Linked DNA regions of Schizosaccharomyces pombe. Each later gene encodes a partner of the first gene's protein in a complex. Each region holds a gene or a part of one and is shown on either strand. Other genes may lie near its edges.

Region 1 (4,329 bases):
TTGCAGGTAAATATTTCACAATTAGAATACCTTACCATGGAAAACCCTTTCATCAGTAGATTCCTTCGACGCTCAAAACTTTCATCGAACATCTGTTTTACAACATTCGCTATTAGCTGCCCATATATTAGCTATCCCGAATAGAAAAAAATCAAAACAAAAATATATATACCTCTGACTGTGAGCATTTTGGAGAAGAAAATTGAACACCTTCATCTGGCTTACTGTCGAAGCCGACTACAGTCGAATGAAGAAAAATAGAAAAGGACGTTTGTACATCGCTTCTCAAGCGTTCGCATATATTGCTATACGAGCTTGCCGGCGACCCTCTCAAAACAAGTTGTACATAATCATTTAAGGTACATAGGTATACATATTGATTCTCTAGAAAGCGAAGAATCCTGCTTTTGGGGGTATGGTGTTCGGTCATGCAAGTTACAAGTAACCATTAAGCATAACTATATATATGCAAAGTGTCCTACTGATCATAACGTTTTAAATAAATAGTGACCGCAAATATTGATTAATATTTATAATTATAGGATTTTTTTTATATAATGATAGCTAATAAATGTTTTGCAAAGTATCTTTAAACTAATAACATTACACGAGTAGAATCACCAATCTTTCTACTACTATCAATTATAAGCGAAACTAATTTAGATTATTCATTAGGGGGAATAGTGAAAAAGGTACGATTCCAGGAGTAAAACGGAAAAAAGCCTAATACGAGATGATACATATTTGGAACAACATGAGAATAGAAAATAGAAAAATAAAACCGCGTTAAAGGAGTTGTAGTGGATAGAAATTTTTGAATATCTCAATCATGCTAGACGTGTGCAAGCATCAAAAAACTTTCGCGGATTACCACCACTAAGGACATGATTTTGCAAATAATTATCAACCTTTTCAAGGCAAACGTTGGATGATACCAAATACTCCATCATGCGACGTGACTCATCTAAAGTGTAAGGCTCCATGTTAAGAATATGCACGGACTGTAATGAATCTAATATAGTCTCATCAGAAGATTTGTAAGGATTTCTGTGAGCTACTCCAAGAGCTATATCCAATGACGGGGTAGAAACACGCGGTTGGCTAGAAGTAGCAGCTAAAACAGTACCACGATTAAAAGTAAGCGAACCCGAAATATATTTGAAAAGTAAATTAATAAAGTAAAAGTCTTTAGGGGGAAGGAAGTTGTTCTTTTTGTCCTTATACTTGGTAACGACCGATAAAATAGAAATATTATCGATCACTAATAACACCTTCATATTGGAATTTGACTTGGTATTGTTATTGAGTTCTTGTAAAAATATTTCCAGAGATTTAGGAGCGTTCGAGGAAGCAATTAGCTTATGAAGAAAGGAAAGTAAATCGGTACCAGCAGGAATGCATTCGTTCTGAAGCAACTCATGACTTTCAAAGGTCTTTAGCTTCTTAAGTTTATCAGAATTAGTTTTCATAACAGAAGTTAGAAATCCCTTAATTAAATCTGGTTGCACCCACAACTTGAGTTGCTCATCATAACCATAACTACTCGTTGAATTTACCCATCCTTCGCAGTTATGGACTGGCAAGACTATAAAATTAGGTTGTGATAAGGCGAAAAGTTCAGCTTGTATGAGAGCAATACTTCTTCCTGAACCTGGAGCACCATCAAGAAGAAAACGTCCGTCCTTCGTACCCTGGTCTTTGGAGCGCTGCAGTACATTCACTAATTCAGTTGTAATTTTCCTGTGCAAAAGGGAAGCACTGGTAAAAAAGGAGAAACTTTTTTTTTGTTTTTCTAAAGCCCCAAATCCATTAAGTTTATTAAGCAATTCCTCGGGGATTTTAAACATCTTACCTTCAGACTTGCTGGACCAAGACATATGCGGATGAATTTCAGAGGGCTTCACCTCTTCTAAAGTATTTTCTCCTTCATTTAAGAGATGATCCAATACAACGCTACTATTGGGAATAGTCGTCGATTTCTCTACTGACGAAGTTGAGGGGGGAATTTCATTAATTCTTGGCGCTTCCGAATTTTTTTGACGCTGCTGGTTAGAGCTTGAATGTATATTTCCTCCAACAGGTCTACCCGTATGCTGGTATTGTGAGGATGAATAGTATTTGTTAAATGTGCATTTTTCAAAAGTGTAGAGTCCTCCCAGTTTACTACCGCAAACAGTCAGTTTTCCACCGGACAGGATATTAGAAATTCTCTCTGTATTCTTAATAATACTACTTCTGCTTCTAAACTTCGGTAGCATTTTGTTAGAGGTATTTTTTTCTCGTAAATCTTAAGTATACATATCTGTTCTCACGTAAATGAAGAGACTGACTGCTTCCGGATGGTAAGTATTTACTGAGCTCTTAGCGCATTGCTAATATTTTTTAATAGGGTAGATTTGGCGTTCAGTAATAAAGAGAACTAACGTATTGCTAATAAGTGTCTCTACTTTTGCAAAAACTAAAGAATCGTAAAAGTTTTCTTACTTTCTTCGTTTGTCATAAAGAAAGTAAAAACAGTAGATTGCTGAACTGAAAGAGAGCTTTTTCTCTTATATATTCAGTAGTTTGATAAAAATTTTGGAGTTTGAAAGAAGAATTTCGTATCCTGAACCAACTTTTTAACAAATCAATTTTGCAGTCTTTTTTGAGAACTTTTTGTCACTTAATTGTATTATCAACCCTTTTTTTTTCCTTGTCCCTATTTCGTTAATCATGTCTGCACAAATAGAAAACTCCATTCCTCTAGATTTCGATTTGGGAAATATGGCTGCATTTGATATTTCTCCCTTAGATGAAACTAAGCTTAGCGGTTCAGAGAAAGAATCATTCCTTTTTTCTCTCAGTAGAGATAACGTTCAACAATTGGTGAACAAAATGATTTCCTTGCCTAAGGAGCGTACATCAGATGGCGTCCTTTTACAGCTTCCTGAAACTGTTACACCTCTTCCTCGTGCTAAACCTTTACCTAAACCCAAGCCCGAAACCAAATGGCAACGGTTTGCTCGTATTAAAGGTATTGCTCCTAAGAAGCGGGAAGGCAGGTTGGTGTTTGATGAAGCATCTGGTGAATGGGTACCAAAATGGGGTTATAAGGGTAAAAATAAGGAATTAGAGACACAATGGCTTGTTGAAGAGGGAGAAAAGGAAAAGAAGCTTACTTCCAAGCAAGTGAGAAATACCTCAAAAAAAATCAAGCGCTCTCGTCGCCATTAATTGGTCCTGCTTAAAAAAAATTTTTCTTAATTTAAAAATTTACTATAATTTAGCTATTCATGGGTTAAGTGGTATAATATCATTTTTATTTTGTTATTATCGTTTGTTTTTGTTTGCTACAACTAAAATCCCTTCTTCAATTGGGATATCAACGGGTACAGAAGGAATATGTAAGACATCGGTTATGTGGCTGCTTTGTTTACACATTTTTATGTGTTAAAAATTAACGAGCACTTTTTTGAAGCTGCTACTCGAAAATCGAACGTTAAAATGTTGAATGTTTACGAGTTAAGTGTAAAGTAAGTTTTAACAGCAACTGTTTTGATACACTGTGGGATTTCCTCCAATTGAATTTTCTAATAACCTCTTGTAAAAAAAGTTTCATACAGTTAAAATGCGACCATATCGTAGTTAATTATTATTTTCTGTATGCAGTCTTAAAAGGCTGGAACATCATATTAAGAGCCCAACTCATGGCTAACTGATATGCAACATTTTTGAAATGTTCAACAAACAGAATTTCATCAGACTCAACAATAACAATCCTTTCTAAATTACTATATAGATTGCAACATCAGTCTAAATATCTGAATGCATTAGTGGTGTAGCGGTAACATTGGAGCTTCCCATGCTCTAGCTCCGGGTTCGACTCCCGGCTGATGCAAATATAGCTGTGAATTTTTAAAAATATAATTGTTTATGTTCTAAAATTGGTTTTTGCATTTTCTATGAATGATATACTCAATCAAAACATATCCTTTTGAGTGGTAAACATAAATTTTTAGTAGATTATATAAATAAATGTGCAAGCCATACTTCAATTTCTAATCATTTTTAAACCGAGTGTATAATAAGTTTTCTAATACTGACTTGTTTATTTAAATATTTAACATAATAATTAATTTTGATATGAGATTGATGCTTTTAGTAGTAATAATAAAAAAAATTTAAAAAATGCAAATAAATAGAAAAAAAATTAAAGAAAAACTCATTAATCCAAAAAAAAGCTTACCAATATTATCATTTGTTTCTCGGTTGGCTACTTCGTCGATTTTATGGTGTATATCATTAATTTTCTAAGTATTGTTTACGTTCGATATTTTAAGCAAATACTTA
Region 2 (3,782 bases), on another chromosome or scaffold:
ATCTAAACCAAAAAATGTATGCTCCTTCTTCCTTCACAATTTACGAACCATGTAAAAGGGGAGTTTCTTTTCTCTTCTTTAAATGTTTCTTTGTTTACTTTTACTGGTAAAATCGAACCCTTTTTTCTAACTTTTTCTTTTTGTAGCAAATTCGCGTGGAGGATTTGGACCTTCCCAAGCTAAACACTTCTAAAAATCCCCAAACTAAGATTCAGAAAAAGGGGAAGAAGAAGGGGAAAATATTTGCTGAAACTAAGGTAATTCATTCTCACATCCATGTTCTTTCATTATAGATGTTGAAAATGCTTCCATTTACTCAACAAGTAATATTCAAAAACATTAAACAACAAAAATCTCAAGTCAGTGTGGTAGATGTTACGATGATAAATATCTCTCTATATAAATCCTACAAATCTTGTTTATAAACTTTCAAGGCCCTGAACCCTATTCTTCCGCATTCGTTCCTCTTTACCACCAGATCCGACAAATAAGGTTTTAAGTGAACTTGCTGCGCTTTTTGAGTCATGTAATCTAATTTTTGATCTGATTTGGTTTGTTTGTTTTTTTACTTTTTGATTTTAATTGATGGGCATTCCTTCATCTATTTATTCATTTTCCACATTCATTGTTCATTAACTAATTGCTGTTACAGGATGACCTTCAAAATATTCTCAATCAAGTTACTTATGAGCTTGACGATAAAATAAAATCTAAACTTCAAGTGGCTGTAAGTATTTCCATGAATTATTTTGATTTCAAGTTTCAGTCAATTTACTAACTATTTACGTTAGCACGAGCGCGAAGCCGTCTTTTCTAAACAATCTGACAGAAAAATCAGCAATAACAAAGCTGATAAAAAGACGGGTCGGAAAAACGAAAAGAAATGAGTTATTCAATTGTTATAACGACACTTCCAAAGATCCTTTTTTTCGTATTGCCTTTCAATTATTAATTTTTCATTTTCTTTTGGGATATCGGGTTCATTCGGTTTTTCGATGCTGTTAATTATTCATTATACAGACTACTAAATAAGTACAACCAATAACATTAAACACATAAGCCATTGCGTTTCAAATTTAAAAATAAAAAATCCAAGTAGGGGAATGCAAAATTCTTTTGTAAAACATTGACAGAAAATTATGCAACATCATATCACTTTTTCATACATACATTTATACGTGCAAGTACATCCATTGGAAGAAGTGCTGTCATTAAAAGCCTGAAAGTAATGAAAAGATTCGGCGAATTATATATTCGCTTTCTTACAGGAAATGTCCTACAAAATACTAATATGGTAGCTCCATTTAAAGTCACGAATTGAAATTTTGAGGCAGACTTGAAATTCTTGGTAGTTATGAATCCATGTGAAAAGTGTTTTGAATAGGCCATATAGCCCAGTTTTCGCCAAGAATCCAAAATAATTACCGATTTTTAGTTTGTCTGTAATGAAATGCTTTTCTGGTAGGTGCAAATTCACCTAATTTATGCCCGATCATATCTTCTGTAATTTTTACATTGGCATATGATTTACCATTATGAACCATAAATTGAGCACTAGAATTTAGTTAGTTAACGTCCACACTTGCTAAATACGAGTATCATACCCAACCATTCTAGGTAAAATAGTTGCAGATCGCACAGCTGTTTTTATAGGAACGTTTCCTTTAATACATTGCTGAACGTTGACACCGAAATCGACCACGTTGGGTCCTATAATGTCAGAATAACAGGTTCTAAATTATTTTCAAAACAAGTATATTTATATTCATTTACCTTTCCAGACTGACCGAGCTCTGGCTACACTAGTCCAAAACATGAGGTGAAATGTTAGAAAGCTAGTTAATTGCTAATGCAGCAATCGTTAATAAATGTGAGGTAGCAACCTGGTGTTGTTACTTCCACTTCGTTTTAACCATTGAACGAGGTGGAGGTGCCAAGTCCTACTCTCCAACTACCACTAACAGCGAATATTTGCATTTCTCGTCTGCTAGATTCGTATTAATAACAGAGATGGAAGGCTCTGATTTTATTTTGGTAGTTGACTCTTCCGTAGAGGAACAGGTATGTCGCTAATGACTCGGCGATTTTTGGTAAAACTTTTTTCAACTAACGAAATTTCAAAAGGTGGAAGAATTGGCTATGTATTTGGATAATCTTGAGGCTAATACCGATAAAAATGTACTTGCTCTTTGCCGAGAATATTTGGCTTCTGAAAATGTTAAAGAAGTTCTTAATCTGTTTCTGACTCGCTTGCCATTGTTGGCACAAGCACCTGAGAAAGGTAATGCAAAATAGTTTTAGGCTAGGAAATTAAAGAATTATTTTAATAAGTGCTAAAGGGCATTTGTTATATTGTTAGTTCTGAAAGTATACTATGAGCTGATGTGTTTGGTTTGCAGCTTTCCAAGTTTTCGCTTATTTTCTCTTCCATGCTATTACTAACACGAAACAGAACTCGAGCCTATTTTAGCCGTCTTTATTAATCTTATCCAAGAATCTGCTGCTTTCGAAGATCATGTTTCTAAATTTTGCCAAGCCTTAGAGCAGATTGCCGATCAAAACAACAATCTCACTCCTGCCATACTCAGTGTCTTAAGCATTTTATTTAATACGGCCGTCAAAGAACGTCAACACGCACGTTTAAGCATTCTTACTAGTGTTGTTACTCTCACTACCCGTTATTCCTTGTTTAGCACTCTTGCACCTAATTTGAAATACTTCCCTGACTGGCTTAAAGAAGCTGGTGTCAGTGTATCGGACCATCGGGCATTTAATATTTTTGTTTCTAAAGCTATTCAATCATACGATGATGAGCAATCATTTGCTTTCCTTTTGGAAGCCGTAAAAATGGACAACTCAACTGCTGACGAGGCGGTTCGCGAATTAGTTCAACGCGCTGTTAACAGCCCTAAGTACTTTTTCTTTGATGATATTGTCACCCTTCCACCCGTTCAGCAGCTTGAACAAAGTACTTTACAGTTACTTGGTATTTTGTCCGGCGGGATGACCGACGATTATGTAAGTTGGGTTGCCGAAAACCATGCTCATTGCCAACACCAAAAATTTGATGAAGATGCAATTGCACGTAAGATGAAACTTTTAACTATTGCTTCATTAGCTACCCAGGCTCCCAATAATACATTATCCTATGGTGATGTAGCCAAGAGTTTGAAGATTGATGAAAATGAAGTAGAATTATGGATCATTGATGTTATTCGTGCTGGACTTGTTGAAGGCCGCATGTCTCAGTTGACTAAAACGTTATCCATTCACCGTAGCAGCTATCGTGTCTTTGGTAAGCACGAATGGGTTGCTTTACACGAAAAATTAGCTAAATGGGGTTCAAGTTTACGTTACATGCTACAAGTAATGGAGCAACCTTTATCTAGCTTTACTATAGCCTCTAGCAAAAAGGGAAATAGAGACGGATCCGCGGTCACAGCCTCTGAATAGTTCATTAGAAAAATAAAATAGGATTCTGATCATTAAGTTTCACCTGTATTAGAGTTACCTTCAATTACGTGGACTTTAGACTAAAGATTTTCTTATAAATTTTAGGTTGCAGTACACTAATAAATAGCAGACCAAAAGCGAAGAAGTTCAAAGCAGCAATCACTTTCTTTGTAATTATGGATGTATCCGTGCAAGACTCTTTTTAACCAAGAGACTTCCCTAATTATTTCTGTCGTCAACTTAAAGAATTTTTTGTACACTAACTAAAAAAGTAACCTACAACTGTTACGTAAAATTGAGATTTTAAAAAAGGAAAGAAGATTGACTCC

The links.
Region 2: rsm23 (region 1) and rsm19 share a complex: the UniProt entries of both Schizosaccharomyces pombe proteins name them as parts of the mitochondrial small ribosomal subunit.

Annotation. Positions count from the first base shown.
Region 1 is NC_003423.3:2,065,681-2,070,009, forward strand, and holds rsm23 (mitochondrial 37S ribosomal protein mS29), read right to left. Parts: upstream 2,311-4,329; 5' UTR 2,259-2,310; coding exon 828-2,258; 3' UTR 507-827; downstream 1-506. Other genes in the region: telomerase reverse transcriptase 1 protein Trt1, read right to left, coding at 36-116, 173-430; ribosome biogenesis protein Rrs1, read left to right, coding at 2,713-3,213. UniProt on the Schizosaccharomyces pombe protein: Component of the mitochondrial ribosome (mitoribosome), a dedicated translation machinery responsible for the synthesis of mitochondrial genome-encoded proteins, including at least some of the essential transmembrane subunits of the mitochondrial respiratory chain.
Region 2 is NC_003424.3:384,334-388,115, forward strand, and holds rsm19 (mitochondrial 37S ribosomal protein uS19m), read right to left. Parts: upstream 1,838-3,782; 5' UTR 1,817-1,837; coding exon 1,774-1,816; exon of another isoform or gene 1,711-1,773; coding exon 1,605-1,710; exon of another isoform or gene 1,555-1,604; coding exon 1,422-1,554; 3' UTR 888-1,421; coding exon of another isoform or gene 792-887; 3' UTR 728-791; coding exon of another isoform or gene 653-727; 3' UTR 553-652; downstream 1-552. Other genes in the region: pre-ribosomal protein Loc1, read left to right, coding at 1-16, 147-257, 653-727, 792-887; tif313 (translation initiation factor eIF3m), read left to right, coding at 2,011-2,061, 2,125-2,281, 2,453-3,453. UniProt on the Schizosaccharomyces pombe protein: Component of the mitochondrial ribosome (mitoribosome), a dedicated translation machinery responsible for the synthesis of mitochondrial genome-encoded proteins, including at least some of the essential transmembrane subunits of the mitochondrial respiratory chain.